Linked DNA regions of Alligator mississippiensis. The protein of the gene in region 1 purifies or fractionates together with the protein of each later gene. This does not show direct contact. Links are inferred from orthologs where the notes say so. Each region holds a gene or a part of one and is shown on either strand. Other genes may lie near its edges.

The links.
Region 2: the proteins of TMEM192 (region 1) and LAMP2 purify together in Homo sapiens (affinity purification with western blotting; 5 studies listed by BioGRID and IntAct, with this or other methods). This does not show direct contact. The link is inferred for Alligator mississippiensis from reciprocal best matches to the Homo sapiens genes TMEM192 and LAMP2.
Region 3: the proteins of TMEM192 (region 1) and LAMP1 purify together in Homo sapiens (affinity purification with mass spectrometry; 3 studies listed by BioGRID and IntAct, with this or other methods). This does not show direct contact. The link is inferred for Alligator mississippiensis from reciprocal best matches to the Homo sapiens genes TMEM192 and LAMP1.
Region 4: the proteins of TMEM192 (region 1) and ACP2 purify together in Homo sapiens (affinity purification with mass spectrometry; 3 studies listed by BioGRID and IntAct, with this or other methods). This does not show direct contact. The link is inferred for Alligator mississippiensis from reciprocal best matches to the Homo sapiens genes TMEM192 and ACP2.

The regions. Positions count from the first base shown.
Region 1 is NC_081825.1:86,738,365-86,746,091, forward strand, and holds the start of TMEM192 (transmembrane protein 192), read left to right. Parts: upstream 1-4,713; 5' UTR 4,714-4,767; coding exon 4,768-4,812; intron 4,813-7,727.
Region 2 is NC_081831.1:72,415,686-72,422,902, forward strand, and holds the start of LAMP2 (lysosome-associated membrane glycoprotein 2), read left to right. Parts: upstream 1-4,196; 5' UTR 4,197-4,268; coding exon 4,269-4,347; intron 4,348-7,217. UniProt on the Homo sapiens protein: Lysosomal membrane glycoprotein which plays an important role in lysosome biogenesis, lysosomal pH regulation and autophagy.
Region 3 is NC_081824.1:351,784,395-351,791,598, reverse strand, and holds the start of LAMP1 (lysosome-associated membrane glycoprotein 1), read left to right. Parts: upstream 1-4,196; 5' UTR 4,197-4,275; coding exon 4,276-4,327; intron 4,328-7,204. UniProt on the Homo sapiens protein: Lysosomal membrane glycoprotein which plays an important role in lysosome biogenesis, lysosomal pH regulation, autophagy and cholesterol homeostasis.
Region 4 is NC_081825.1:227,906,008-227,913,377, reverse strand, and holds the start of ACP2 (lysosomal acid phosphatase), read left to right. Parts: upstream 1-4,349; 5' UTR 4,350-4,373; coding exon 4,374-4,499; intron 4,500-4,613; coding exon 4,614-4,709; intron 4,710-4,857; coding exon 4,858-4,944; intron 4,945-7,370.

The DNA.
Region 1 (7,727 bases):
GCATCAAATTATAAATAAATCAGGGCCAACCCAAGACAGTGCCTGGACATAGAGATATTTTTAAGTATAGAAGATTGAATTTTAGGGATTGTTACATGTTTTATCTACTAATCTCATATCATGCTTGATCTAATCTCCTATAGAACATTTCATAATAGCCTACATAACATGAATTTTCTATTTCATAAATGAAGAAATATACAAGATGTAATTTGAAAAAATTCCAACAATGTGCACTAGCAGATTAAAGATTAAACTCAAATTCAAAATGTAGGGAAAAAATCATTTTGTCACAAAATTCCATTAAGTGGCATAGAAAAAATGGCAAGTACCTAGCTATTACTGTCTTAGTATTTTTTTTTTAATTTGCTACTGACAGAATTTACCATAAAAGGTTTATGGGTATATTGTCATCTGAAAGCATTGAAAAAACAGGCATGTAAATACTAACGTTTTGAAATCAGAATATACTCAGTAGAAAGTACCTTTTACTGAAACAGGCAACAAGAACTAGTGTTTCTGTTAATACAAGTGTAATTGCAATAAATATTGGAGTTATATAAAACCTGTGTAACCAGGTTTTCAGTCTCTTTTGTTTATAATTTTTAGGATAACTGTGATAAATCACTTCATCTTTCTGATTGGATCTCATCTTTCTTTGCTGGTATCAGCTTAGTTGTCATCTATGCAAAATTCAGAATCTAGACCCAGGGCTGTTGACCTGTGAGTTCGGGGCTATTTCCTAAGAAAGGTCCATAATAAAAAACAAGAAAATTACCCAGAGTAGGATCCATTTCCTGTCCACTCCAGCACTCTGATTCAGTAAACCTGTAGAAGTGAAATCAATAATGGAAAGCTATTGGCAAAAAAATGGAAAAGGTACCTCAATTACTGTTTTTGTTAGTAACAGATGATGATACATAGTGACAAAATACTATGGTGATATAAAACTTTTATATTTTTTATTTATATATTACCTGCCTATACATATAATTAATGTCCATAAAGCTATGCTTTATTTCTCATCTTTCTTTTACTAAGATCGTTTAAATAAATCTCACAACAGCGCTTATCAAGTACACATTATTCCCATTGTATGGATGGATAAACGAAGGCAGAGAAATAACATGATTTAAGAGTAAAATGATACAAGTAAATTAGTGACATATCAAGTACAAGTGAAGTAAATACAAGTAAATTAGTGACATAGTGACAAACAGTATCCAACTGTCTTAATTTCCAATGTGCTGCTCTAACCACTGGGCAACAACATTTGTTTATACATTTCTTTTGTAAAAACACAGGGCTTACTTTGATGTTATCAGAGCAGGATTGAAAAGGTAAGAAGCCAAACCTAATGAATAAAGATAATAACTCTGGATATCATCTTACAGTTCCTTAATACACTTGGACTTGACTGACAATATCACTAAGACCTCTTTACAGTTCTTTGGCAGCAAGATAATACAGTCTCTTGACTACTTGGGGTACCTGACCCCTAGAAATAGTGGCCAGGAAAAGCTGTCTTCTAGAGAGAAGGAACGTGCGTGGCTGAACATTTTTGACAAAACTGAGTAACACTGAACTGTTTCAGTTCAGCACTGTTGTGGGATTTCACAGCAGCTTAGTACTGTTGTAGGTTTGAGTTGAACGTCAATGAGACTGATAAGTTTAACCTATGTCCTTTATTTAAGATAGCTCTAATAGTTAAGTGTATGCATCCACTCAAAACAAAACCTCTTCAGGAATTTACAACCTCTGGGTGAAGGGCTTTGGTTAAGTATTGTTCTCAGAAGTGTGTGCATGTGTGCATGCACATATGTAGGTGAGAAAACAAACATGACAGAGAAACTGAGGCCAGAAAGCCTGAAATGAGACTTTCCAAGTTTATGCTTGTAATGAGGATGGCAGAAACAAAAGCTACCCCAACAGGAAGAGCTTTATTCAGCTGCTTCTCTCTGGCCCCAGTCCCCAGAGCCCTGTTGCTAATGTGGCCAACATGAGCAAGGTACTCAAAAGCATGGATCAGTGCAACCCCAAGAATCTGGTCATTTAGGTGGAGACCCCAGCAAGGAAGAAAGCATACAGCCTGAAGGCCAAGCTGGTTGTGCTCAAACTGTATCAGATCAGTCTTGCTTTTTTTCCTAAACCAGTCATAGCTTACATCACGGGTGAACAAAATACAGCCCAGGGGCCAGATCTGGCCCACCAGGCCATTCTATCTGGCCTGCAGAAGCCCTAAAAAAATTAGAAAATTAATATTTATTTGATCCTGGCTGCCTGTCAAAGATGACAGGAGCTAGGGGCAGTAGTACTCAGGGGAAGCCAGTGGCAGGACCCACCAGCAAGGCCCGCCCAGCCCCAGCCCCCCAACCAGAAGACCCTACCTAGCAGAGGCTTCTGGCCTGGGACCATGGGGCTGTTCCTGCTTCCCTGCACCGCAGAGGGAAATGTGGCCCTTGACAGCTTGCCAAAACTCAGTAAGTGGCCCTCCACCCGAAATAATTGCCCGCCTCTGGCTTACATCCTGCTCAAAGTCTTGTTCAGCCTTCCATGCATGAACTTCATCCTCTGCAAATGTCTGATCAATCTGGTTATCAAGAAGGGGGGTCAATCCTCTATCTGGAGAAGTTATTGGAGACCAGCCACTTCAGGCCTTCTGGCAAGCCTTTGGGACTCCGTATGGCATCAGATTTGAATGCTTCACAGTAGGATATTAATCTACCATGCTGGGAATGATCACATATTAACCAAATGGACAACAACACCTTTCAGACAACAATGTGGACCAGAAAACAAGACTGAGCAGAAACCCCCTGGGGCAAAATCTTAATTTGCAATCAGGACAATATCCAACTCCAAAACGTAATAAAGGTGAATTTCCATAGTATCTTTGGTAGTTTAAGAGTAATGTTGTAGTGGTAATGGTCCAGAAATTATGCAAGAAGCAAGGATTTCTTAGGATGATATCTTTTATCTAACTATAGAGCTGAGACAATGTGAGGCAAGCTTTTGAATGTAAGAATTTCTTCCTTGGGTCTCACAGAGTCCCCAGCATCAGGTTGTGACCTGCTTGTTGCTCTCATGAAAAACCTGCTGTATTCTTTTAAATATCACTATACCTTGGGAGCAGGAGTGATTTTGGAGAGAAAACCTTGCGTGACCCCGGGGTAAGCCCAGCAAGTGGGGGTTTGGGACAGGGCGCTGGCTGAAAGAGCTGTGGGGTCATAAGGAAGCGAACAGTCTCTGCTCACCAGCTTGCTCTGGTGTTCAAGAAAACAGAACTTTGTACGTCCCTGGAAAGAGACAGGATTGCAGCAAAGATATGCCTTGGGTGCAGCCCCACTTGTTCCTCCACACAGGAATTTTTTTTTAATTCAAATTTTCTATATTCCAAGTCGAATTAGCCAAAACAAATTCCAAATCTGAGTCAGTCCAGAACCACAAGTGGCCCTACTACAGGCAAACATCCTCCACCCCCATCTGAGGCTTCAGATGTTTCCAAAACCTTTGGTGGGCATCCTACTTGCAGGCCCAAGCCTGGAGGTTTGGATGCCCCCCAGTTTTGCTTGCTCCCAGCTGTATGGCCCCAAGGAGCAAGCTAGGGAGGAGTCTCCCATTTCCATAAAGTGGGCATAAGCCCAGGTTAACTATGCATTACCTATGCGCATTAGTGATGCATAGGGGGTGCATGCGGGTGCACATGCACCCTGAGATTGGTGCATGGCCACCTACAGGAGCTCCCCGCTTGGCCTGCCTCCACTGCTGACACTGCTGCGGCTGCCCACTTGCCGCCGCCATGCCCCTGCTGCAGACACTGCCCCGAGGGCAGTTGCCATATCCCACCAGCCTCCAGATGCACGCAGCATTTATGCCTATGCGGGGACTACCCCATGCCAGCAGAGTGGTCTTCCCTGGGTGCAACTAGGAAACCACCGCAGTGATCATGGTATTTCCTCTTGCCAGGCAAGCATAGGACTACACTTGATCTGGGCCCACAAAAATAGGAATAATCCTCAAGTCCTTGAGTCTGGGCAATTTCACAGCACCTGCTGGCTCCTTGGACTCGTTGGAGGGCCAGCTGGCCAGCGTGCTCTGCTCCACGCCCCCCATGGGTGCACTCTGAACTTCACTCTCGTGCTTTGGCGACACACAGTGCACGCGCACCCCCTAAGCGTGGCGGTGCACCCCCTGCAAAAAAGGTGCCGCTAACATTGCCGGGCTGCCTGCTGCAGATCGTCACTTGCCACCCCAGCACCACTGGCGGCGTCTGCGGGCGGCCACTGCCTGGTCACCGCTGGCCACTGCCGATGCTGCCGGTGGCGTCTGGGGGCGCTCGCCACCCCCCGCCCCATCGCCAACAGCGCCGTGGCGCCTGCGGGGGCTTGCTGTCCCCCAGCCCCCGGCGTCCCTGCTTTGGATTCCATTTGCCCCACTCACTCACTCACGTGCCCCGAGCGCCCCCACTCTGATTACGGGGGAATTGCATAGCTGGAGGCTCACGTTGCGCCCTGGCACATGGCAGGCCTGGCCCGGGCACGCTCCCACCAGTGCCCAGCTCTGGGAGCGCCCCTCAGGGGTTGTCCCAAGCAGCAACGATCCCCGGCGAGCCTCCCGGGGCCGTGACCCGCCACCCCTGCAGGAGCGGGGGCCGGGCGCGGGGCGGCGCTGTGCGGGAGCGGGGGGCGGGGCCGGGCCCGCCCCGCGCGGGGAGGCGGCGCAGCCCAAGAGCGCGCGCCGAGCGGGGGGGCGCCTCGGGCGGCGCTGATGGCGGCGGCGGGAGCGGGGCGGCAGCGGCAGGAGCTGGACAACGTAAGCGCGAGGGGAGCTGCTGCGATGTCGCGGTCGCGCCCTGCTTGCTGCCCCCGTGCCTTGCAGGGCCGGGGGCAGCCGCCGGGCCAGGGCAGGGCCGGGCCGGGCCGGGCCGGCGCCTCCCACAGCTGCGCATCACGTGGGGGCTGCGGGACCCGCTGCTTTGGGCCCCCCAGAAGGGGAGGGAGGCGCGGGGGAGAGCGCAGGGCAGGTGCATTTCTCCCACCGCGGGCTCTTCCTGTCTGGGGTTAGGCCAGTCCGGGCGTGGAAAGGCAGAGGCTTCTTCCTCCCGGTTGTTTTTGCCTGTCCGGGAAGGGAGAGGGGCTGTGGTGCTTCCCTGTCCCACCCCTGCCCAGCTAGGCCACCGGCTGTGGGGGTCTATGAGGAGGTGGCAGCTTGAGGGGGGCAGTCACCTGAAAACGCAGGGCACTGGGCTGAGGAAAGCCCTTCCAGCGCCCTGTCCCCAAGGCTGCTTGGGTCCTGTCGGGCTCGCAGGAAACTGGCTTTGCTGTTGCAGGTGCTGGCAGGTTCTCGGTGCAGAAATGCCAGCGTCCGGCTGCAGGACGGCAACACGGCTAGGTGCTGGGCATGTGTGCGCTGGGCTATCTGTGAGAGGTCAAGAAAGGGAGGTTTGCACGCTCTCCCAAGTATGGCTGCCAAGGTTGTTTGCAAGCATGGTTGGAAGCTGCCAGCCTGATGCTCCCTTCTCTCCCACACCTTGATCTGGAAAGGAGATCTGAGCAGAAGAGTACAAACTTTCTGCTCCACATAACAGCTAGTCCTATTAGTGACAAAGCAAGCTGTGACTCGCTGTGATTTGAGCAAGCTGGTTTTTGGCCTGGACTACACTATACATGCGTTGACCTAATTAGAACATCTTGATGTTGGCTTCTGATTTAAATTGGAGCCAATGCCTCATGTCAGGCACTTTAATATTAGCTGTGTTTTTCTTCCAGCTGTCATGGGCATCATCGTATGAAGAAAATCTTTGGGAGACATTAAGTCTTGTAAATTGTTGGCTTCTTCCATGTGAAGATGAGTTGCAATTAAGTGTTGCAAAATGCTTCCCTCAAGGAAACTCTAGTATGGTAAAACCTGTTTTGATAAAGTACAAGAATAAATTGGATAACCATTGTATTGTACAAGCCATGCCCATAACATGAAGGGCACCTATTGACTACTGCTGAAAGGATCAAAAAACTCACCAGATAGCCTGTGGGGTTACATAGGGGATACAGACCTTTTTTTAAGGTTGCTTTTGAATGCTTGCTCTGCAAAATTTGTATTGCATCTCATAGCTGGAAGTGGCAAGTGAAAAGACAAATATTTAGTGTTTTGACTTTTGAGTGGTTTTTGGAGCGCACTTAATACTACCCTCCTTTCTCCTAAAGGAAAGGCAGTCTTTGCAGAGTTCTTGTAGCTGTTGAGAACTACAACAAGAAGGTTACCTATAAAAGAGGCATTCTGATGCTGTAGTTGTAATAGTTGAATCAGCTGAGAATGAAATGGGCACCTATCACTAGTGTGGCAGCTCAGCTGATGTCTTGTCTGTCTCAGTTTAGATTTTGAAGAGCATGAAAAGGAGTAGGGATCCATGCAAGACTCAAAAGGTGAGGGTGTTTGGAGAGGAGGAGCTGATATTCTCTACCACCTTGGAATTGGTATGAAGCTAGGCCTAGTCCTGCAGCTTTATGTAGACATGAAATGCCCTACTACAGCAGTCGCGAACTTTTTTGTGTTGCTGGGTGGGAATAACTCGGCTTGGGTCAGAGGCTGGCTAGCCAGCGCTAAGATCCATGTGCCTCTGCTTCCCCCTGGCACCTGGCCATGGCGCAAGCAAAGAACGCACCACTGAAAACTAAAGCCCCCAGATTCATGAGTTGGATCCAGTGGCTCCATGGGCTGGATCTGGTCTGCAGGCTGTAGGTCACAGACCCCCTAGATCAGTGGTTCCCAACCTTTTTAGACTGCAGACCAGCATACTGCAGACCAAAAGGAACTGACATAGTGTGGACCAGCAGCTGCCAGTCTGCAGTATGCCGGTAACTTCTGGACTAGCAGCCAACCCTCCTGTGGACCAGCAGGCAACCCTTTGTGGCCCAGTATTGGGCTGTAGCCCGGGGGTTGGGAACCTCTGCCCTAGGTACTATATCAAAGTCTCCAGAGATGTCCAGCAGTCTGAGAACAAAGATCTCTCCTACTTCACAAGCATCTTTGTGTTGTATTGTATTCTGAATTCTCATTGTGTAGCATCTGCAATGGTTGCTGATGTTGCATGTTATTGGAGTTCTGTGATTTGTTAAAATTATTCTGCCCTGGAATAGGAATTTGAAGAGATCATCAGGATAAGTAGCTAGCTTCTCAAGAACTGGGGTGGCCTGTCTTTATCAAGAATGATAGTCCACACTTGGACTGTTTCTATTAATGATGGGCATGTTGTTCTTCACTGGGTTCAACCAGCCAGAAGAGCAAGGATCTTGCTGTTATTTTCCTGACTTAAGGAGGGAGTGGCTTGGAGCAGTGTTTCTCAACCTGTGGTATGTGTACCCCTGGGGTACACAAGATGTGGGAGGGGAGTAAGCAGGTGCTGAATTTTGAGTTTGACCCATCCCCCTACTTGGCAGGTTGGAGGCATCTTTGCCTGTTCGGGCCGGAAGTTCCAGTGCACCGCACTCCCCAGCATCAGTGTGCCAGGGGACAGGGAGGACAGCCCTGCACAGGCTGCTTTCCCCGGGCCGTGGTCCATGAGGAAGAAGTGGGACTCAGCTTGTGGCGGCAAACCAGAAGTGCCACGGTGGGACTTCCAGTTTCACTTTTGCCATGTTGATTGGCAGGTGGTATGGAAGGTACCAAAGGTTGAGAACCACTGCCTTGGAGGAAGGTGTTGATAGTAATGGTCAGTGGGTGGCTTCACT
Region 2 (7,217 bases), on another chromosome or scaffold:
AGTAATTAATTAAAATGCCGCTTTCACCCTTGCATTTCACAGTTCCCAAACTCTACTAAGCTGTCAGTTGCTCTTGCAAAACTTGTAAGCTTTCACTGCTGACGGCCTCTGTAAATAGTTTGGTGTCATTTGCACATGGCACAGAAGTCTCAGCCTGGAACCATTTAACCCCGACTGGCTGAGTACTAGCCACATTACAACATGCTGTCTCCAGACAAGGCTTCTTTGGAAACTGGTGGCAAAAAGCACAATGGCTTATAAATGCAGGGAGGCTAGTGCCACAGGAAAACCTGATAAGGTGTTGCTGTTGCTGCTGGAAGAGTCTAGCAAGTATTAAATCAAGTTGCACTGATTTAGCTCCCGGTGATGAAATACTCCCTTCTTCACCCCACCCTTCTTCCCCTCTCATCAGCTGACAAAAGGTTTCCTCAGCTGTTTGGGAACATCATGTTGCAAAGTTCCTTAGCAGGAAGTTTTGCTTGTTCTGCCTCTTTTGCAACCTGATCTACCTGCCCTTTAAGTTAAAAGAAGAAACTTCTGCTTTTTTTTCTTCCATGATGAAAATGCTTCACGTGACTGCCAGAGTCTTGACTCAGCACTTTCACTAAGCAGTCGAATGTAATTGTTTGGTTTCCCGTCACCGCTTCTTCCAGAAGTCTGCCTTTCAGGAACACCAGTTCGCTGCTGTCAGCAATCCTCCATCCCGCACGTTACTCATTTGGGATGGCAAGAGATTGTTTTACAGACTCCGGAAGAGCAGCCACAAGCTACCGAGATCCATTCCTGTTCTAATCCGAACTGGCTGATGCTTTCACAGCCAACAGGATCCTATTAACAGTGACGCCCTGCTGGACAGGCCGCGATTCTCCTTAAGCAGCTGTCCAAATCCTTACTCCAGTGCACAGACCAGCTAACAAGATCACGGTGTAGGGGGAGACGGGGCTAGTGGGGGACACACTCCTGTTACGTGGATCCGTAATGCCCAAGTGTGTCCCCTGTATGGGGTAGACTCCTGTCCCATGCTCCCAAATTTTTACTGCCTCCTAGAGCAGGATTGCACTGGTTCTTGCCATGGCATGAGCTGTGAAAGGCAGGCCATAATATTCCCTAAAAGGAGGTTTTACTAAAGAAAATGTCTGCAGATATGAACAAACAGACTAAATATAACAAGGGCCTGTCAGGTATGTATCTCCTCCCCTTCTGTATTTGGCAATTTGTATGTTACAAGACCAAAGACTGGAAATATGCGCCTGCTATTGTGAATGTTTGGGCAAAAACACCAAAACCTCCAGATCCATCACGATATTCCCTACTCTGACCCAGAACATCTTTAAATCTCAGCGTGCAAAAATAATCAGAATGCAAGACCTATTTGTCTGCCTACCTCTAATTACCAAAGGGTGGGGCCCTGATTTATCCAGAGATTTAACCATACACCTACCTTTTGAAGCATGTGATTTCACTGGAGGTCAACAGGACTGCTTGTGTACTTAAAGTTAGGCATGCTTAATCCCCTGGCTGATCTGAAGCCCAGATAGGAATCTTGCCACAGAGATCTGTAAAGCACTCCACTCCCCCTTTTCTTAACACTACCAATATCAAACTCAGTCTAGCATGAAGTAAAAATGGCAATGCACCACAGAAATACCCCATTCCTTCAGTTCAGTTCATGCACTCACAGTGGGGAATAACTCATTAAACTTCATTCATCCTCTAGTTCAAATCTCTCCCTAGGTGATGTGTTGTTTTAATACATTGCACCACAGATCATTCTGTTCCACCATTAATTGCTATCAGCCACATATGCTTGATTCTGAAATGCTAGAGGCAACTGGAACCAGTACCACAGCAATATATAGATATATATAGATCTATATCTATATTATGGCTATATCTATAATCTCCAGATATACAGAGAATATAGATATATATATATCAGAGATTGGTTCCTTAGAAGTTCCTGAGTACACCAGACCTATTCCCTTTACAGGGACTTGAGGAAGTTCAGCACCTTTCAAGATAAATTGTGTAAATGGGTGGCAACCAAAAAAATTCTTGCCATAAAGAATTAGACAGATTTTGGTACAGAAGGGAAGGTTTATTTTGTCCCTTTATTTTTTAAAGCTCATTATAGAACTAAGAGGAGAGGCAAGGCTTTAGGACAGTGGTTCTCAACCTGTTTAAACTTGCAGCGTCTCTGGATAGACTCAAGGCACCACGTGGAAAGTGCCAGCTCTTAGTTTTCACCCTTTTTTTCGCCTATGGAAAATAAATAGAGCATGTTTTTTTCTGTCCAGAAACAGGGATTTCTATTTGAAGTCTCTGGGTTTCTCCTGTGAATCATGGTTGTAAACCTAACAGTGTTAACATTTGATGGGGCCCCATGGCACTCTTGAAAGAAGTCAAGGCACTCCAGAGTGCTACAGCACCCTGGTTTAGGAACTACTGGTATGACTATAATCACTGCTTCAGGAACTACAGTACTGGAAAACCTGTCACGCAGACTACGCACCTGCTTGCTAACTGTGCTATTTCTTTTGGCCCAGACTAACTAGAGGTGTTGAACTGGAAGAAAATTGCCAGCATGGAGTTATCAACTGGTTCTCCTTTACACAACTCACTGCAACATTTAAGGTAGCTGAAGGATGAGTACCCTGAAAACTGGAGCCAAATTCAGCCCTGAATTACGTCAATGTAACTCCGTTGACTTCAGCTGTATTCGAACCCACTTCCAGGAGAGCAGGACCCATCCTTATGCTTCCACAAGCCAGCCTGCAGAGGCCCAGCACTGTAATGGGGAGCTGGGACCTAGAAAGTGATGCCTAATCCTGCCAGCGTGGCATGTGTGAAATGGCCACCAAGAAAACTCAAGCGAGTCCTCTGCTTGAAGGGCCAGCAGGATCAGGCTAACTGTTGGGCTGCTCTTTAAAACAGTACAGCAGTACAAGCAATCAGCAAACATAACAATTAATATTACAGATATAATTTGATAGTCGTTATTAATACTAGAGCATTACTCAACAGCCCTTAGGCCCAAACAAACAAAACCGTGGGATGGTCTTTAAGTAGCACCATCACCATTGTTCTCCCTTTCTGAACCTGCCCATCAGCTCCCTTCATTGCATCGCATTCAAGCCGCTTGTCATCCCCTTCAGGAACCTCCATGGTTCAAAATCGTCCAGTCCTTTCTCTCCCCGCGCTCCGACTCCATTCAACTCAGGCAGCTTCCTCTCCGCACGGCCTAGCACAACAGGCACACGGAGACCCCAGGAAAAATAGGCTCTCAGTTTGCAGATCCAGGGCCCAGCAGCTCCACGCTGATCTGCAGCAGCAGTTCCTGGGGAAGCCCAACATCAACTCGACAAGCTTTGGGCTGGAGCCTACACTGCCAGCGCGGGGAAGGCGGGAGCCAAGGCTCATCATGCGTAGGAGCTGCGAGGGGCGGGCGAATGGCCAGGTGCCCGGCGGGAACGGCACGGCAGCCTGGTCAGGGCGCTGAGCGAGGACGACGGGCGCTTTGGGGAGCCGGGTCTGTGCTGAGCACGTGCCTGTTGCGCGCATCAACCTGGGTGGACCTTGGCAAAACAGCCAAACCCCCAAGGCAGGTCATTGGAATGGAAAGCTGCAGGCCAGGCGATTAAAGGCAAGTGAGGTTATGAAGCAGGGATCCTGGTTTTCTCGGATAAAAAAAAATCCCTGATTTTCAGGTTTAAACAAGTAGCCCCAAACCCACATTTCCCATGATCAAAATGAAACCCCACTATACATACATATATACATACAGACACACACATTATTAGTGGTATGTAATTTTAAATCACGGAAAAATGTGCATTTGGGGTTACTTTTTTTTTTTTTTTACTCAAAACACGGGGATTTCTTTTTAATCGAAGAAAACCAGGATCCCTAGTTATGAGCAAGGGGGTAGGGAACTTTCTAACAGAAAGTTATAATGCTTCCACTTCCAACAGGACCCCCTTAACAGTGGCCTGCGGCCCGGTATTATGGGCAGTGCCCCGGGAAAGCCTCGCCCGCCCGCCCGCCAGCGCTCCTGGACTCGAGTCCGATTCCTGCGCCCGCCCGCGCCGCTACGCGGTGGGCAGCGCCTAGGACCCATGGAACCCCCCGGCGGGCGGGACCGCCCCTGCGATTGGCTACGCGGGCAGCGCCCCGCCCCCTCATATGACCGGCCTCTGCACTCTTGCTGCGCCCGCCCGTTTGCTTGCCTCCGTCTCGGGGATTCCACCGCCGCCGACGCCTACCGGAGCATGGAGCCGCGCTGGTCCCGCTGCGGGCCTCTCCGCCTGCCTCGCCACTCCCTCCTGCTCCTCCTGTTCTGCGGCGCCGGTGAGTGGCAGCGGCCGCGGCTCCGCGGGGCCTGCGCGGGCCTGCGCTTGCCCGCTGCTTCGCCTCAGAGCGGACCTGGGCCTGGCCCCGGGCCTTGAGGGGGGACGGATGGGGGCCGCGAGGGGTCAGAAGGGCTCGGACGGGGGCGCGCGAGGGGCCCGTGACGCGGCGGCACGTGACTCGGCCGCTTAGCGAGGGGGGGCGGTGCGCACGGCACCTGTCCGGGCTCCCTCTGCCCCAGGCCCGAGACGCGTCCCCGGCTCCCGTGTGCAGGCGCCCGTTGCATGTATGGCGCTGCGAATGCTCGCGCCATAAATGTAAAGCAGCCCCGCGTGCAGTTAGACCATTGCAAGTGCAAAGTAATCACGAGAATTGTTGTTTTGCCCCTGCGTGAAAACCCAAAGGCTCCTGCTACACGTCGCGTTCATGGCGCGCCTGCCCCACCCATCGCGTCATGTGTAGACTGGCCCTGTGCGCAAAGCAGTTCCCGCGCGTGTCGTCGTTGCAGCCCCGGGGGAAAAAACCATAAGGCCCCCTGGGCTCTGCGTTGCGCAGATGGGTCAGTCGTGCCATACATGTAGACTGGGCCACAATGCAAAGCAACGATCACCTAATTAACCAGCGGGTCATACAGTACATTTAGACTGGTTGCATGTGCAAAGTAGTTATTGCATGCTAAAAATGACTATCCAGCTATAAAAGAGCCAACCAGCTACAAAGTTAGTGCTTGAAAAGGCTAACGTTTCTGCAGCCGTGTTTCGCTTGAGCTTGTAGTGGGGCCCTAATGCATCAATACAGAACGGGCCATCGTTGGCAGTGGTGTGACCTGAGGAGGTTTCGGGGCCTGTGGTTGAGTCAACAGCATGATGATGTTGCAAAAAAACAAGCAAATGTGGTTTGGGGTTTAGAAAGGGAGTCTTTGTTTAGCGCTTCCCAAACCTTGCCACCTGTTCTGGCCTAAATCCAGTTAAGCCTCCACTAACTTTCTTAAAAAGTTAAAAACGGGAGGGTCCAAAGGCAAGCATGGAGGATAAAGAAAGGGGCTGGGGACGCATGCTGGAGGCAGGAAGGCTGAAAGAACTAAGCGTATTTCTAGTTTAGAGGAAAGGAGATTACGGAGGGTCATGAGAGTACTCTTTAAGTAAAGGCTGCTACAGAGAACACGAAGTGTGGCCAGGAGGAACACAATGCAATGTGTGCATCTAAATTCGCCCATCTCGATCTTAGGAAAACTATCTTCACTGCAGCAGTAAGATAATGCAACACATGGGCTAGACAAATCATGGGCTCACCTTCGTTGAAGGTTTTCTAGAGGCAGGGGGGAAAGGAAGGTTAAGCTAGATAACCTTGAGATCGTGTCCCAGCCCATTCCTCCCTCCTGCTGACACTTCTCTCAATTGCATTAGTAAATTGAGTTGACAAAAGTGACCTTGTGACAAGAACAAAGACCTGAGTAACTTTTGTTCAAGATAAAGAGAATTAATAGGGATGCCATGATTAACCATTATTTGTAGATTTGAGTGTTGTGGTGTAATAGGATTAGGGTTGAAGGACTGCATTGGTTCCAAAAGACTCGGGCTTAACCAGTGTCTGTCGATGTGCGGAGTGGCTCGGATGCGTGGTAACTACTCAATTAATCAAGGCTGCTGAAGTGTGCTAATTGGCACACTCCAGCAGCCTCCTCATCTTGTCTATCAGCATCCCCCGTTCAACAACCTTTAAGCTAAAGCTCCCCCATCACCATTTTGTATCAGCATCCCCACACTTTGTAAGATGCTGCAGGCATTCTAATTAGAGTGTCTCTCCCAGCTGCTTTAATTAAAATGCCTGCCCCCCCCTTCCCCAGACTGTGAAAACACCCAAGGTAACTCTCGCTTGTGTGGTGGAAATGGAGAGCAAACCACAAGTGCTGTTTAGCTTGAACACAGAAACTAGTTTTAGAATTAAATCCTTCCTACAGGTGCTTCTGGTTTTCAGTTTAGTTGCATAAAGTTATGCAGATCTACATTGCACTTGACCTGGTCACCAGTATCTTGAGCCTTGCCCCTATGGAGTGCAGCATGCCTTAGTGTAATATGCCTTCATGTAAATGGTGGCGGAGCAGGAAAGATGTTCCCTCCCAAAAAAAATAGTTTTACTTGTTTGAACGTACAAGGAAGTTTCTTTGTTCCTTCCTCTTGTTCTGGAAGTAGCCGGGCTCCCAGTGTCTGATAACCCTGTGTATTCTAGGATATCCGTGGATATTGAGCTACTAAACTTCAAGAGTACACTTGTCCAGTACCTCTAAGCTGATTTCAAAATAAAGTGCTTGTGGTTTTATGTTTTGTCAAGTTGCATATTCCTGTGGATGCATGTGCACTATCCATTCTCTGTATTTTTTGGAAAATAGCCTAAACCAAGGGCCTGCAGCAAAGGAACTGCTCTGCTTTCTTCAGATGATTGTAGACAGGGAAGTTGGAGTACGAGTTCCAAGAGACTAGTCAGCTGTATTTCCCACCCCCACCACCCTAAATGTGTGGAGGTCATGGATTTGAAACAAAAGAATCTTTTGTTTCAATCTTAGTCCAAGACTGAACATGACTTCATTCAGGCAGGACCTTAAATGCAACTTACTTATGTAAAGTGCCATATACTTTTTAAACCACCACCTTTCCCTCTTGCACCAGTCTCTTAACTACTTCTAGCATCTTGCTGCAAGAAATGGAACTATCAAAGGGTTCTGCTTCTTTACAGAGAGAAGGAAGTAGTGATCATATCTTCAGCAAGTGAATTCAAGTGCTCCCTTCCAGCAACAGAAGCTGCTATGTGCCTGACAGTATGCAAGCAAGAATTATAGCTAAACTTCTGATGGGAGACAGTACACGGATATG
Region 3 (7,204 bases), on another chromosome or scaffold:
GGGTAATGAAGATTGAATCCAACAGATCCTATCTTGCTTTTGGACAACAATTTTTTATCACTGTTTATGTAAAACTGCAGTAAAACCTAGTTTTGCCTTTAGAGTCGCATACAGTGTAATTACTGTACAGTGTGCTCTACACTAAAAAGAAAAAAGTTTTCTTAAAGACTTTTAGTCTTGAAGTTGTGAAAGCATAGCTTTTTGTCTTGAGAGATTAAGGATTTTGTGAGTACCTTGTTACATATTGTATATATGTAAGTTGATTTGAATTGAAGAATGAAAGACTTGTAGCTCTGTTAGATGATTGTAACTATAAGGAAGATACTTTTTGTGGTAATATTTACAAGCCTCTGTTTATTTTACAGGAGTTGCGTAATGGTGTGTTTGATTCTAATTAAAAACTACCAAAGGAGTTTTGATCATGGTATAATGAGAATTTAAACTAAGCAATATTTTCTTGAAAAGTACCTTACTAAATTTATGTAATGTAATTTTGTGCATAAATTAAAAGATCACTATCCCTTAAGAATACATTGTTAAACACAGATATCTCTTGAGTTTCTTTGTTAAAGTCCTCCTCCTCTCATCTACTATCATTCATTGTATTGCATTCTTTGAATTATTTTTGTTCCCTTTCCGCTATGGTTAGAAGATAAACCTCACATATCTTTAGTATAATAAATGTATTTAAAAGTTATTTAACATTGTAATTTAATGTAGACTTGTTTTAATATTTGAATCTTCCGTTAATTCAAATAAAACATTTTTGTTGCATATTAAATATGAATTTCTTGGCCACAATGCGACTGTGGCACTTAAATCAATTTTTCAATCTGCAGTTTAGTGTTAGTTTAAAGGCAGGTTTGCTGACTGATTGATCTATTTTCTGTTCATATCACATCCATCCAGTCCATCTGCAAAAATATTAAAAGTAAAAAGAAAGAAAGAAAAAGGTATATATAATAAGGCTAATGAAGCAGAAGATTCTTCAAATTAAAGCAATGCTTCTCAATCTTTTTGGACTTGAGACATGCCTCAGAAAATGCGTATTCTTAGCTTTCACTTGTTTTTTTTTTACTACAGAAAATAAGAGTAAATCCTTCTGTTGCAAAGAACTCAGGAAGACCACAACAGGTCAGAATGTTTTTGACACTATGGATTTCTGTTAGAAATCTCTGGGTTTGTCCTGGGAATCCTGCATACATGTTTGCACACCTAACAGAGATAATACTGTTTGTCAATGTTCAAAGGATCTTGCAACACCACAGCTGAGAATCATTAGACTAAGGAGTTGGCAGTAACAAACAGAAGTCCAGTGATACATGTTAAACAATGGTGCATATCACTACTACTTCTCCTTCCCCTCACTCATTCACTCCAACAAATGAAACTCTTAACTAGTGTTTTGATGAACAAAAACAGTAGTTTACAAAAACTGACAGTATTCTCTAGAAACATTTTCATCAGCCAGTGAATTATGTCTGCCTGAGGAAGCGATGTAATCAACAGGTAATTCTCATCTGTGTAATTAGAAAAACATACCAGTGGACTGGAATTTGTTAGTCAAGTTACTCTCACTGGTACAGTAATAAAGAAATTAAGATTTATGAATTCTACTTTTTGCTAGACTGTTTGCATGCTGAACAAATGAGTAAGCAATTTTTCAGCTACACTTTCAACCATGTCATTGGTGACCAAAACCATTGTCATTTGATCTATGATAGGAGTATCAAACTCTGGATCTGGACCTCCGGGCTCCTCCTGAGCTAGATCCAAGGGGCCAGCAGTAGCTGTGGCATGTCTGGGAGCTCTGGTGTAGTTCTATGGGCAGTGGTGGCAGAGGTCCAGGTGGTAGTAGCAGGGCCCAGCAGCAGGGTGAGCAAGAGCTGTATCTACACAGCCCTTGTTCTACCCCCAGTGCCACTGATGCCTAGTGACCCCAAATTCTGTGGAGGCCACAACCTCTACCCCTGCCCCCCAAATGCTAGTAGCCCAGTGAGCTGGATGGAACATATATATATGTTGCATATATATATTTGCAACCCACTTGTGTTTAAAAACCCTGGTCTATGTAAAATGAGTTACATTTGTAACAGTTGGGACAATTACATCATCTCAATCACTTTGCAATTTGGTACCGGGGAATTTAGTTAATGGATGTCCTGAGCGTCTTAAGACTTAAGAATCTGAGTGGAGCCAAGGCACTGCCCCATCTTAAGAGTCTGTAGCTGCCATCATAGATGCTGATCCATGCCCTAGCATTGACAACACCTGAGAGCTGAAGCCTACCTATACTTAGTTCTAGTACTGACTTCAGTTGCTAGAGCTCAGGCAAAAGGCAGGGTAGATTTGCACCTTTATAGACTCATAGTATAAGCTTTGGTAAGCAGAGGACTTGCAAGCTTCATCAGATGCAGTGAAGGGACTCGCTAGGGCTGAAGCATTGCCTTTCTGAGAGCCACAGCAAAGGTTATGAGCTTTCTAGTTTGCAATCTGTTTCCAGAGCAGGCATGGCAGATAGACTTTACACAGAGTTTCTGAGCATGCCATTGTTTTTTATATGAAAGACCAAGCATGAGAAAATGCAAGTGAAACACAAAATTGCTGAATGCAATACCCTGCAATCTAGCTCAGCCCCTTCCTCAGGGTCTGACTGTAGGCAGGCAGCTAGCTTGTGCCTTGTCTTTGACCTTGGCCAGTCTTGTAGCTGAATGCTGCTGCCTCCCCATGCCTGTCCTTAACCCCTGCTGTGCAAAAGCCAGTCTCTATTAAGTGTCCAAAATTCAGCTCCCTGCAGAAATGTATAGCCAGTTTATAGTCTTATGAGTATTTCCCTTATGTTGACCAGGTAGACCTTTTCCATAATGTTCATGAGTTGATCCACACATTCTTCTCCTTTTCTCACTTATTCCCTACTCCCAGCCACTGGCTTTGGACAGATGCTAAACCCAGTGGTTCTCGGCCTTTTTAGACTCAAGGCCTAGCTCAGAGAAACCCAGCTCCTAGTTTTCCCTTGTTTGTTTGATTTTTGTATGGGGTTTTTTACTATGGAAAAATAAGAATTTGTCTGCTGCAGACAACTCAATCCCAGCAGGACAGAACCTTCTTAATGCAATGGGTTCCTTTGTGAAACCTGTGCAAACCTGAGCCACAGGATGAACCCACATGTAGCAGTGCTAGGATGGGGGAGAAGGGCCGCTCCACAACACCTTTGAATGGATCTCAGCAACCTGGGATGCTGCAGCACCCGGGTCGATCATTGCACTATGCCCTTAGCATCAGGTAACAAGCAACAAGTGGTGACATGGCCCAAAAGAGCCCTACAAGTAAAGTCCAAAATTCTCCATAGCGACTTGATCTAGTCACCTGGGCAGGCACCGCGGAGAACATCACACTGAACACAGGTCATGGCAGGCTGCAGACCCAGGCAGTGGCTCCCCAGCCACTGCCTTGCAAACATCATCAGGGATCCTAGATTTCTCTGATAAAAGTTACCATTTTTTAGATATAAAAAATAACTCAACATCCACATTTTTCCATAATTGAAATTAAATGCCACTAATAAATAAGTATATACATATATATTCCAGTGGTATTTCATTATAATCATGGAAAAATGTGCATGTTGGGTTACTTTTTTATATCCGAAAAATGGGAATTTTTTTTTTTTAATCGGAGAAAACGAGGATCCCGGCTCATTGCGCTAACAAGGTACCATGACTTCCTTCCCTGCTCTGTGACGCCACAAAGTTGCCGAGCGCGTTGCCATGTTTCCCGATGTCGAAGGCCGCGCGCTCCCCCCTCCGCCGGCCGTGACGCACAGGGGGCGGGGCCACCCCGAACCGGAGGGTCTGTCCTCCCCTTCAGTCCCACCTGAGAAGGAGGGAGGGGGAGGCGGGGTTAAAGGCTCCCAAGGGCAGCTCTGATTGGTCGCTCGAACCCTGCGGCGGCCAATGAGAGGCGGCATGTGCGCACGCTCAGGAGCGATGGGAGCGCTGGTGCTACCGGCTTTGGGGTACCTCGCTCGGGGAGCTCTAACCCGTCTTCCCAAGGTTTGCGTTAATCCCTAGTGCGGGGCTACTGTGAGAAACAGCGCCACTCTCGCGCTATTGCCTCCTTAATGGTCCCCCCTTCCAATAAGAAGGGGGCGGGTCACGTGACGATGGCGCGGAGCGGTGACGTCAGCGATCATATGACCGGCCCGGCTTCCAGAGGCGGGGGGTGGGTGGGCTTTCTGTTCTGCTCGACTGCTTCCTGCGCTCTGTTCCCTGCGTCATGGCCCGGCCCCGCGCTCCCGTGCTCCTGGCCGCTGCTGCCGCGCTGCTCGGTAAGAGGCGGGTTCTCCCCACTCCCGGCCGGGGGGGCCTTGCTGGGGGTTCCATGCCCGCGCCCGGGAGCCAATGGGGGTGCGAGGGGAGGGGCCGTTGGGCTGGGGGAGGCTCCCCCCGCGCTCCAGCCGCCCCCCACGAAGGGCCGGTTTTATTAGCCCGTGCCCCGCTGGCCGGATCTGGGGCTGCGAAGCGGGGCGTGCTGAAGGGGAGACCTCGTCCCACAGAGCAGCAGCTCTCAGCCTTTTATGTACCAGGACCCACTTGTAAACATCCGTGGCCAGTCCCGACCCAGTGCCCCTCACCCCCCCCCCACCCCCAGGCAACGGTCCCCAAGCACCGCCTGGCAGGCTGGAGCTCTGCCAGCTGACAAGGGAAAACCCACAGTTTCTTCCCTCCTTTAAAGGGGAATCTGGTCTTAAAGCTTGTTCCCCACCCTTCCGTATATGTATATTTGCAACCCACTTGTGAGTCGTGACCCATGGCTTGAGAAACGCTGCCACAGCGCAATTTTCTCCTTTGGGGGAGAAATAAGCAGCTTTGCTCACTCACTCATTTAGGAGCCAAGCCAAAAACTAGGAGTGTTGCTTGCTTGGAAGGAGGTAAAAGCTGCCTGCGAGGCAGGGAGGGGGGAGCTGCTGTTCCCAGGAGCAGGGCACGGCCAGCTGGTAAAAGAAAGGCTGGGCCAGGATCAGCGTCCATGAGGGAGGGCACCTAGGGGCTAAGACAGGGCAGTGCCTCTGCTCTGCTCAAATTCTGCTGTCTGAAAATGCCCCGGGCACCCACAGCTAAATTCCCTTGTAGCCAATGGCAGAGCGACTGAGACGGTGTAATTGCCCAGACTGTCGCAGACCTACCTCGCTTCTCAAAAATCAGGGGTTTCCAGCGTATGGGCTCAGAGCTGTTCCATCCAGCTCGCCGGGCTACCACGTTTCAGGCCTGGGCTGGAGGGGTGAAACGTGAAGGCCGTTAAAAAGGAGAAAGAGGCCTTCACACCCATGGATTGAAGAGCTTAAAAGGAAGCAGGTAGATTATTAATGAGCAGGGATCCTGGCTTTCTCTGATTTAAAAGAAAAATCCCCAATTTTCAGGTAAAAAAAAGTAACCCCAAATCCACATTTTTCTGTGATTAAAATGAAATGGCATTATCTCTATCTATTTATAGATATCTATAGATTAGTGTTGTTTCATTTTAATCTTGGAGAAATGTGGATTTGGGGTTACTTTTCTTTAATCTGAAGACTGGGGAGTTTTTTTTTTAATCAGAGAAAACCAGGATCCCTGTTAATGAGCCATGAAGTCAGGTGGTTTCCTCAGCGCTGCCTGACTAGAAATGTTGCTGTGGGGCAGTTGGTTTTAAACTTGGGATGGAGCTGAAATCAGAGGGGAGTACAAGTGCACCTCCGAATACCCCTGCTAACAGACTGCTGGGTTTGATTCTCATCTGAGGGTTTTGTGCTGCATCAAATCCAAACCTTGCAGACAGCCCAGCTCCATGCTCTAAGTATCTGTGAATGGTTCAACTGGACTCGCACTATGTACTTGTGACTTATTCAAGTTAACATTTTTCCTTGTCTGTTTTTAGCCTAAATTACTGTTCCCTGGTCTGTTTGGAGGCTAGATAATCACCTAGCCGGGGTCATTTGACCCCAGCATTCTTTCCTGCCCATGGCAGGGGGTCAGACTTGATGATCTGCTCAGGTCCCTTCCGACCCTACGAACTATGAATCGAAACCCAGGAAAATCAGTTTCCAGGCAAACAAAGTCCGTTTTTAGCCTTAGAGGTGCACCCTACACACAGGCCACATCTACACGAGTGGTGGACTGTGCAGTTGTCACTGTGCATTTAGTACTCGCATAATCAAGTACTAAATGACTGCGCAGTAACCAGCATTACTACGCAGTCGCATGCCCACGTTTCTTTTTTTCTGACACTACTGCACAGTAGTATTGCATCACAGTTAGTGCCTCCCCATGCTACTGCACAGTAGCAATGAGCAGCCACAGTTCACCAAATCCCACCCTGAGATTTCAACTAGGAATCCACCAGTGCCTGAGCTGTTCTGACTGGTTGTGGTCTTTCCGAGTTTTTTGCCACAAGAATTGTTGTGTTGGTTTTCTGTAGTCAAAAGTAGAGTGAAAGTGAAGAGTTGGTATTTTATGAGGGGGGGCCTTGAATCTAAAAAGATTGAAAATGCTGCTGTAGCTCTCCAAGCTGGGGCTTCTGTGCAGGTGCTGGTACAACACACACCTGGCTTGAACTGTGCCAGCCTGGTGGCAAACTGTCCTGGAGATGTGGCTGCTGAGTGTTTTGAGGTGTGCCTGGGTGAGCTCAGTGTCTGTTAAGATCTGCTTCATGGGAGGTGTATAGGGCTTGTATCAGCTTCTTTAGGCATCTTTCACTTTTAAAGCCTGCAAGCTGTTATGGTTGCAGAAGACCTACCAGTATGATCTGATTTTGGTGGTGTCATTGGGAGTGTGTAGGTGGCTTCCTCAGCACTAGCAAAGTTACAGTTCTTGTTTTCACTTTATCTTTCTGGAGTCCCATGGTGCCTAGTAGGCAGTAATTTTAACATTAATGAAAGGATTTTTTTCACACAACATGTAATTAAAAGTGTGGAGGTCATTGCCACAAGATTTTATGGGAGCTGATTGTTTAGCCAGATTCAAAAGAGGGATTAGACAAATTCTTGAAGGAAAGGTGCATCACTAGCTATTGAGCTAGTGAGAATTAGGGGCACAGCTTCTGAGTCAGCACTTCCTAGACTAAATGCTGGAGCCTGCGAGTGAGAGGAATGGTAGCAGGGAAAAACCTGGTCATCTCCTATTCACTCTCCCTTTCAGCATCTGCTCTCTGCCACCATGTGACACAGGAA
Region 4 (7,370 bases), about 140 Mb from region 1:
TAAATAGCACTCATTGATTTGAAAGGGTTTCTTTGACGTGACTGCTGGACTTTTTGAAGGGTTCTTGGCTGCAGGTTTTTCTGGAGTCTTGTATGCTTTCTTAAAGAAAGCGTTCAAGGAAGTTTGGACAAATGTTCTCCAGGGATACGGGTGACACAGCAAGCTTGTTCGCTAGCATGGCATCTCATTAGATCAAGCATTGTAAAGTCAAAAATGATGTTGGAAAGTTGAAACAGGGTATCAATTTATAAACGCAAGTTAAACGTAAGTGCAAAATGGTGCAATTTGACATAATACAGGCAGTCCTCAACTTGCAGTATGTAAATTTTCCTAATTAAAAGCTTTTAAGACTTTAAAAAAAAACTGGCATGAAATTACAAGTGTGTATCTAAACGTAAAAAAAATTGCATAATGTTTTATTTGAGAAATAGCAAGTTATTAAACACTACAACTCCAAGCCTACAAATATTTAAGCACCACATTCTTAACAAAGCATGGAATTCTTACTGCCGTTAGCAGCACCACTCTAGTCCTTAACATTAAGCCAATACATAAGTGTTTGCGCAACCAGTACTCCAGATGTGGCCTCCCCAGTGCTGAACAGAAGGGAGGAATTGCTTCTTTCAGTCTCTTGGCAACACTCCTACTAATGCAGCCCGGTATGCCGTTAGCCTCCTTTGCAACAAGGATACACTGTTAGCTCATATTTCAGCTTTTTCCTCATCATCTGTCACTAGGTTGCTGTCACAGGATGGGGGCCCCAGGGATGGCCATGATACCCCTAAGGCTTTTTGACCGTGCCAATCCTGCCCAACAGCCACCCTCTCTCTCCTGTCACATCTTGTGATACTATAATAAGTTGGGAGGCTGCCCTCAAGTTTGTATCTTGGGCAGTCCTGATAGACCCCACTGAACCCTGTGGGTTTTCAGACCCCTTTTGGGTCCTGCTCCAAATGGATGCCTCTCAAGACACCCTCAGCCTTATGGGCTAGATGCATGGCTCCAAACGGAGCCTCTACTACACCCCAAGCTTTGCAGATGGCATTCATATGTTATCCCTCCAAGGCCTTAGTTTAGCTTGGCCTCCGGTCATCACTGGGGTCCCCACACCCCAAATACTACACCCACATTGGCACTAGGGTCCCCACACTGTAATGGGCCCCCAATGAGGCCTCCTCCTTCCCCAATAGCTTCAGCCTGATTCTCCAGTACTATAAAACAGCAACCAAAAATATAAGCCCCTAGACTATAACATAACACAAAAAGTTTAGGGTGTGGTCTGTCCTTTTAAAAGAGGGAAACTTCTATCCCAGCACTAAGTGCCTTGTAGGCAAGGGTACCGGGTAAGCTCCTGGAGCCCCATTAGCCCCAAATACAGCATTACTATACAATTCCTCCCTAAAGGCTCCTTCTCCTCTGACTGCTGGCAGGGAACTAACTCTCTAGTCCCAGCCCTGGGGTTTATATGTGCCCAGGGCCCTGCCTCTTCTGGTCAGCTGACCAGCTGCAGGTGCAGGCTAATTCCCTCCTTAGGCCTGCTGCTACAGTAAGCTGCATCTGTGGGGTTCCTGGCTGACTACTAGGGCCCTCTCTCTAGGCAGTTTCTGCCCTTAAAGGAGTAGGCACACCTTAGTGCCCTATAACAATTGCCTGCCCCATTTAGTAAAGGACTCACACTTTCCCTGGTCTTCTTCTTGTTGCTAACATGTCGAAACCCTTCTTGTTACCCTTCATGTCCCTTGCTAGCTGCAACTCCAGTTGTGCTTTGGCCTTCCTGATTTTATCCCTGCTTGCCCGATCAATATTCTTATACTCCTCCCCATAAACAATGTGTGCCCCTGCAGGCTGGGGGAGCCTGGCGACTGGCGCAGGTGGTGGAGGCAGGGGCAGCAGCGAGCAGGAAGCTCCTGAATTCAGCTGTGGCAGTGTCAGTGGTGGGGAGGGTGGTAAGCACCAACCGGCGGTCAGCGACCACCCACAGATGGTGCTGGCAGCATTGGTGGTGGCCAGCAGCAATCAGGGACCGCCTGCAGACGTGGCCGGTGGTATCAGTGGCAAGGGGAGGGGTGGCAAGCAGTGACTGCCCACAGGCACCACCAGCAGAGTCAGCAGCGCTTCTGTCAGGGGGTGCACCCATGTGCACCCCGTATGCATCACCAACGCTCCTCTCTAGTTGTTTGTCCAAATTTCTACTTCCTGTAAGTTTCCTTTCTGTGCTTTAGCTCACTGAAATGTTCTCTGCTAAGCCAAGCTGGTCTTCTGCCATACCTGCTAGCTTTCCTGCACATGGGGATGGTTAATTTCTGCACCCTCAGTAAGGTTTCTTTAACATACCCCAGCTCTTCTGGGCTCCTTTCCCCCTCAGACTGGCCTTGCAGGAGATCCTGTCCATCAGGTGCCTGAGTGAGTCAGTCTGCTTTTCTGAAGTCCAAGGTGTGCACTCTGCTGCTCTCCTTCCTTCCTTTCCTACTAGATCCTGAATTCAATCATCTCCTGGATGCTGCTGCCCAAGTCGCTATCCACTACTACATTCCCCACCAATTCGTCTCCATTTGTGAGAAGCAGGTGAAGCATAGTCTGGCCTCTAGTTTGCTTCTCCAACACTTGTACCAGGAAGTTGTTCCCAACACTCTCCAAAACCTTCCTGGATTGCCTGTGCACTGCTGTATTGGTCTCCCAGCAGATGTCAGGGTGATTGAAGCCACCCAGGGCCTGTGATCAGGAAACTTCCACTAGCTGTTTGAAGAATGCCTCATCCACCTCATCCTTCTGGCCTGGTGGTCTATAGCAGACACCAACTACGACATCACCCTCGTCGTTCTCCCCTCTGATCTAGCCCAGAGACTTTCAGCAGACCTATCTCCAGTTTCATACTGGAGCTCTAAACACTCATCCAGCTCTTTTACATAAAGTACAACTTCTCTTCCTCCTCTTGTCCCCTGCCTGCCCTTCCTGAACAGTTTATACCCATCCATGACAGTGCTCCAGTCATGTAAACTATCCCACAATGTCTCTGTTATTCCAATCGCATCATAGTTCTGTGACTGCGCAAGGACTTCCAATTCTTCCCGCTTGTTTCCTGGGCTGTGTGTGTCCATGTGCAGGCACCTGAGATAACTAGCCAATTGCCTCATAATTTCACAAGGTGAGAGCAGATTGATTTTGATTTTGAAATACATAAGAATTCTGTGGTGTGTGTGTGTATGTATATAAGGCCACAAGTATATGGCCTTCTTATATATGGTATATAAGGCCATATATATATGGACTTCTTTATGAGACACAAAAAGGTGATAATCACAATACTTTCCCTTTATAAATCACCTTTAATAACATATAAATCCCCTGACACAACAGGGCCTGATTTATTTGAAGCCCATAGGTAAGACTGTGATTAAAGTATTACAATTATCATTACAACATCCACACTTCCGAGCGCAACCAGAAAATATCTGCGCATATGCTCTGTAAGTCAAATCAGTTTTTCTCCCCAAAAGCAGTCTTCTGTGAAAGTACAAGACACTAACTTCCTGCCACTGGTATGAGGCATTGAGGAGGCATTACAAGGTCAAATGCTGATGTATTAGAGCTGCTTAAAAATGTCAGTATTGACTTTTCTTAGTACACTAGGAAACATTGTCTTGCTCAAACACACCTGCTCCTCTTTCCCCCCAAAAAAAGACCACAGCTATTTGTGACATGTTTTTCATTGTAAATTTTCTGTTTTTAAGAGTGTCCGTGTTGTAATGATGCTGTGTGCCTCCGTTTCCCCAACGAGCCGAAGCCAAGGAAAGGAGGGTTAATAGAGGCCCTGCTAAAGAGAGCGGCCTTCTGCAGAGACAACACGGAGGGCCAACAATAAAGGGCTTGTAGACCTGTTGGGTGCCCATCCTTTGGAGAAGGTGCTCCAGGGTCACCGAGGGAAGGAGGCGGAGGGAGGTGTGGCAACGGCAGTGTACCCGCCCTCCAGCAACCGGACAGGACGAGGCAGGGACAGGCTGCACTGGGGAACCAGGTCCGCTTCAGCCCTCGGAGCGAGCTGAGGGGGCGGGACTTCAACCCCAGTTCTCGCGCTGCTATTGGCGAGGAGTCGCCCGCTTTGAGAGCTGGCCCTGCGGGCGGAGGAGCCACGGTTCTGATTGACAGCTCGCGAGCCGGGACACCCTTCTCCAGACGACCCCTTCTCACCTCCACTTCCGGCGCGCAGCCGTTCACAGTCCCCCCACCCCTCATTCCCTCCCTTCCTGAAGCTTCCGTTCCTAGCAGCAGCTCGCACTCCCCCTTCCCGCGTGTTGCGAAATGTCCGTCCGGGCAGCCCCCGCGGCCGGCACCGCCCGAGTTCCGCGAGAGCTGCGGGCCAGCTGGGCAGCGCCATGGCGGCCGGGAAGCGGCGGGGCTGGGCGGTCTCCGCGCCGCCGCTGCTGCTGCTGCTGGGCCTGGCGCTGGGCCCGGAGCCGCCGCCGCTCGCTCAGGCCCGGAGCCTCCGCTTCGTGACCCTGGTGAGCGCCGGGCCGGGGTGCGCGGGGCTGGGGCTGGGGCTGGGGCTGGGGCCGGGGCCGGGGCGGGTGGCGGCGGCACTGACTCCCGCGGGCCCGGGCGCTGCTGTGTTGCAGGTGTACCGGCACGGCGACCGCTCCCCGGTGAAAGCCTATCCCCGCGACCCTTACCGCGAGGCCGCCTGGCCTCAGGGCTTCGGGCAGCTCACCCAGGTGCCTGCTGGGGGCGGGGCGGCAAGGGGGGATTAGGGGCCGGGGGGTGGCAGGGGGAGGCCGGGGGGGATTAGGGGCCGGGGGAGGCAGGGGGCTTGGGCCGGAGCAGCCCGGGCTGCCTGGTGACTCATTCTGGGCCTGCTGGCAGATGGGGATGCAGCAGCAGTGGGAGCTGGGCCAGGCCCTGCGGAGCCGCTACCACGGGTTCCTGAATGCCTCATACCAACGGCAGGAGGTCAGTGTCTTGTACCTCCCCAGAGGGGTCCTCACTCCCCTGCCTCCCTGCTTTGACTGCCTGGTGCTGGGCTCAGGGGTGGAACTGCCTTTCTGTGGTCCCTCGGGGTGGTCTCTGCTGCTTGTACCCAGAAACCTCTGAAGGGGCCTTTGGCAGAGCATCTCGCCTGGAAACTGCCTCCCTGATAAATCACTTCCGAGTCTGGGGCAAGTACCTTGAAAGCTGGGGAGGGGGAGGGGCAGGAGAAAAAGGAGAGGTTAAGTTTTGCCTTGGTGAAGTACTGGGCCTAGGCCATCCCTGCTTACAGACAGCAGAGATAAAACGTCCAGCAGATGTTTTGTTTCGTCAAACAAAACATCTGCTGGAATAGATTTAATTTCCCTTTCCTACAGAGCTTCCAGAGAGAGTTTAACCAAGTTAGCCTATGCATTGCTCCTTCCAGTCATTTTCCTTAAGGAGAATTGGGATGTGTCAGAGAAGGACTTTAATTGGGAAGTCCTGGGTGTCAAGCTCCAAAGGGAGTGAACTCAGAAGGGAGAAAAGGAGAAACTGTAATACAGCTTGTAGGTGGAGGAACTGTTCTTTGTTCCCTGTCCCCAGCCCATCCTGCCATGCCTGTGCAGTAGAGTGGCTATTCATGCAAGACCTTCCAGTAGCTGGATCTGTCATCTGTAGAATATCTGACCTAGGCAAATGTTGTTAGCACATGTCAGAAACCTAAGTTGCCATTGAAGTAAAGTCCTTGGGGTATAATGGATCTTACCCAGCTGGGTTACATCAAGAAAGTAGAATATGCCTGTTCTCTGATTTGTTTCCACTGTCAATTTCTGAATTGAACTAAGGAGATCTGCCTGCCCTTGGCCTTTCATGCCTCATTGCAAACATCCAGCTTAAAGGGCCAATAGGACTGAGGGGGAAAAATATAATGGACTTAAAACTCTTTGTGTTACAGATACTAGGATAAGTTCAGCCAAGGGTTAATCAGAAGCAATACCACTGTAAGAGGGTTAAAAATGCTGTGAAATTAGCCCAGGAATCAAAGTTGGAAGATAATATTTGGTACTTGTTTCCCAAAGTCCTGAACCCTGATATTAAAAAAGACAGTTTAAAATCATGGTTGATCATTCCATGGAGCAGCCTGCCCAGGAAACCAACTTAAGATAGTGCTTCTTGGAAAAGTAACATGCAGTTGCTATCATTACTAAACAAACCTCTCTCTTTATTTGCATCCATGCTCCAAACCAGTTACTTGCTTTTTCCTTTTCCTTCTCTGTAAGTTTAATATTACCAACAGAGGAGTTTTCACCCAATTTGGAAACAGCTGTTGTGAAGTGTCATTGTTCTAATATGGGGCCTTGTAAGAACTATGTACTATGGCAGCATAAAAACATATTCCAACCCTCTTTTCCAGACTGCATGGTCCCTTCCTAAATCTCTCTCCTCTAAAACTTCTCTGTTTGCTTCCTGGTTAATGCAAAGACCAACCTTCTGCAGACTTTAGTTCTCCTCTCTGCCTTGGCCTTCTCTTTTAGGAAGCACCATCTCTGGATTGCTGTCATGTGAGCACTGGTCATCTGACATAGCTACAGGACAGATCCCTGTAAAAGGGTATTGAAACAGACATATTTGTTTAAGGATTTAGTGGTTTGTTACATTGCTCTAGTCTGCTAATTCCTGCTGCTCCTTCAGGGCTTACCTAGGCATTCCTTCATCTTTCCTAAAGGAGAAGCGTTTTGCTGTAACTTTGCTGAGTCATGGCATGGTTCACCTAAAGTGAATAGAAATAGTCTAAAGACTGAATAAATTTTGCTAAATATAACAGTTTGGGGCATACAGTTTGCTTGGAGGATGCTCTGTGAAGTAAAGCAACAATGTTTCCCTTTTCACAGCATTCTTTCTGCAACTGCCCATTTTCAGTCACCATCACCAAAGCTCCCAACCCTTGGCTTCACCCCAGACTTCTCTTGTTTTCTCTATTTCTTCTCTAATGCCCTGACTACCTGATGTCATACCTGATCTCAGCCCTCTCTCTGGGGCAGGCCTATCTGTCCCTCAGGCCTGCCCCATGCACTTCTTCCCCCACTCCTACCCCGGTGTCTCTGGTAAACGGTGGTAAGGTACCAAACTCTTGAAACCTTAATCCTTCTTGAAACTGCATTTGTCCTTCTTTCCTATGGGGGGCCAAGCTTCCCCTGCCAAGCTCTGAAGTACTGAATGTTCTATGCTCTTTCCATCCCAGGAGCTGAAAAAGTTTTGATACAGGAATGTGAAGCTCATTTGGCCAGATGTAGACCATAGGGCTTCTTGTGAGCTGGATGACCCATAAGCAGTGGTGATGGATTTAATCACCACAGTTGTTGGAGCTGCTATAGTAGTGTGGCTCTGGCACCCAGGGGGCTAACATCCCTGCTGCTCACCTCCCCTCT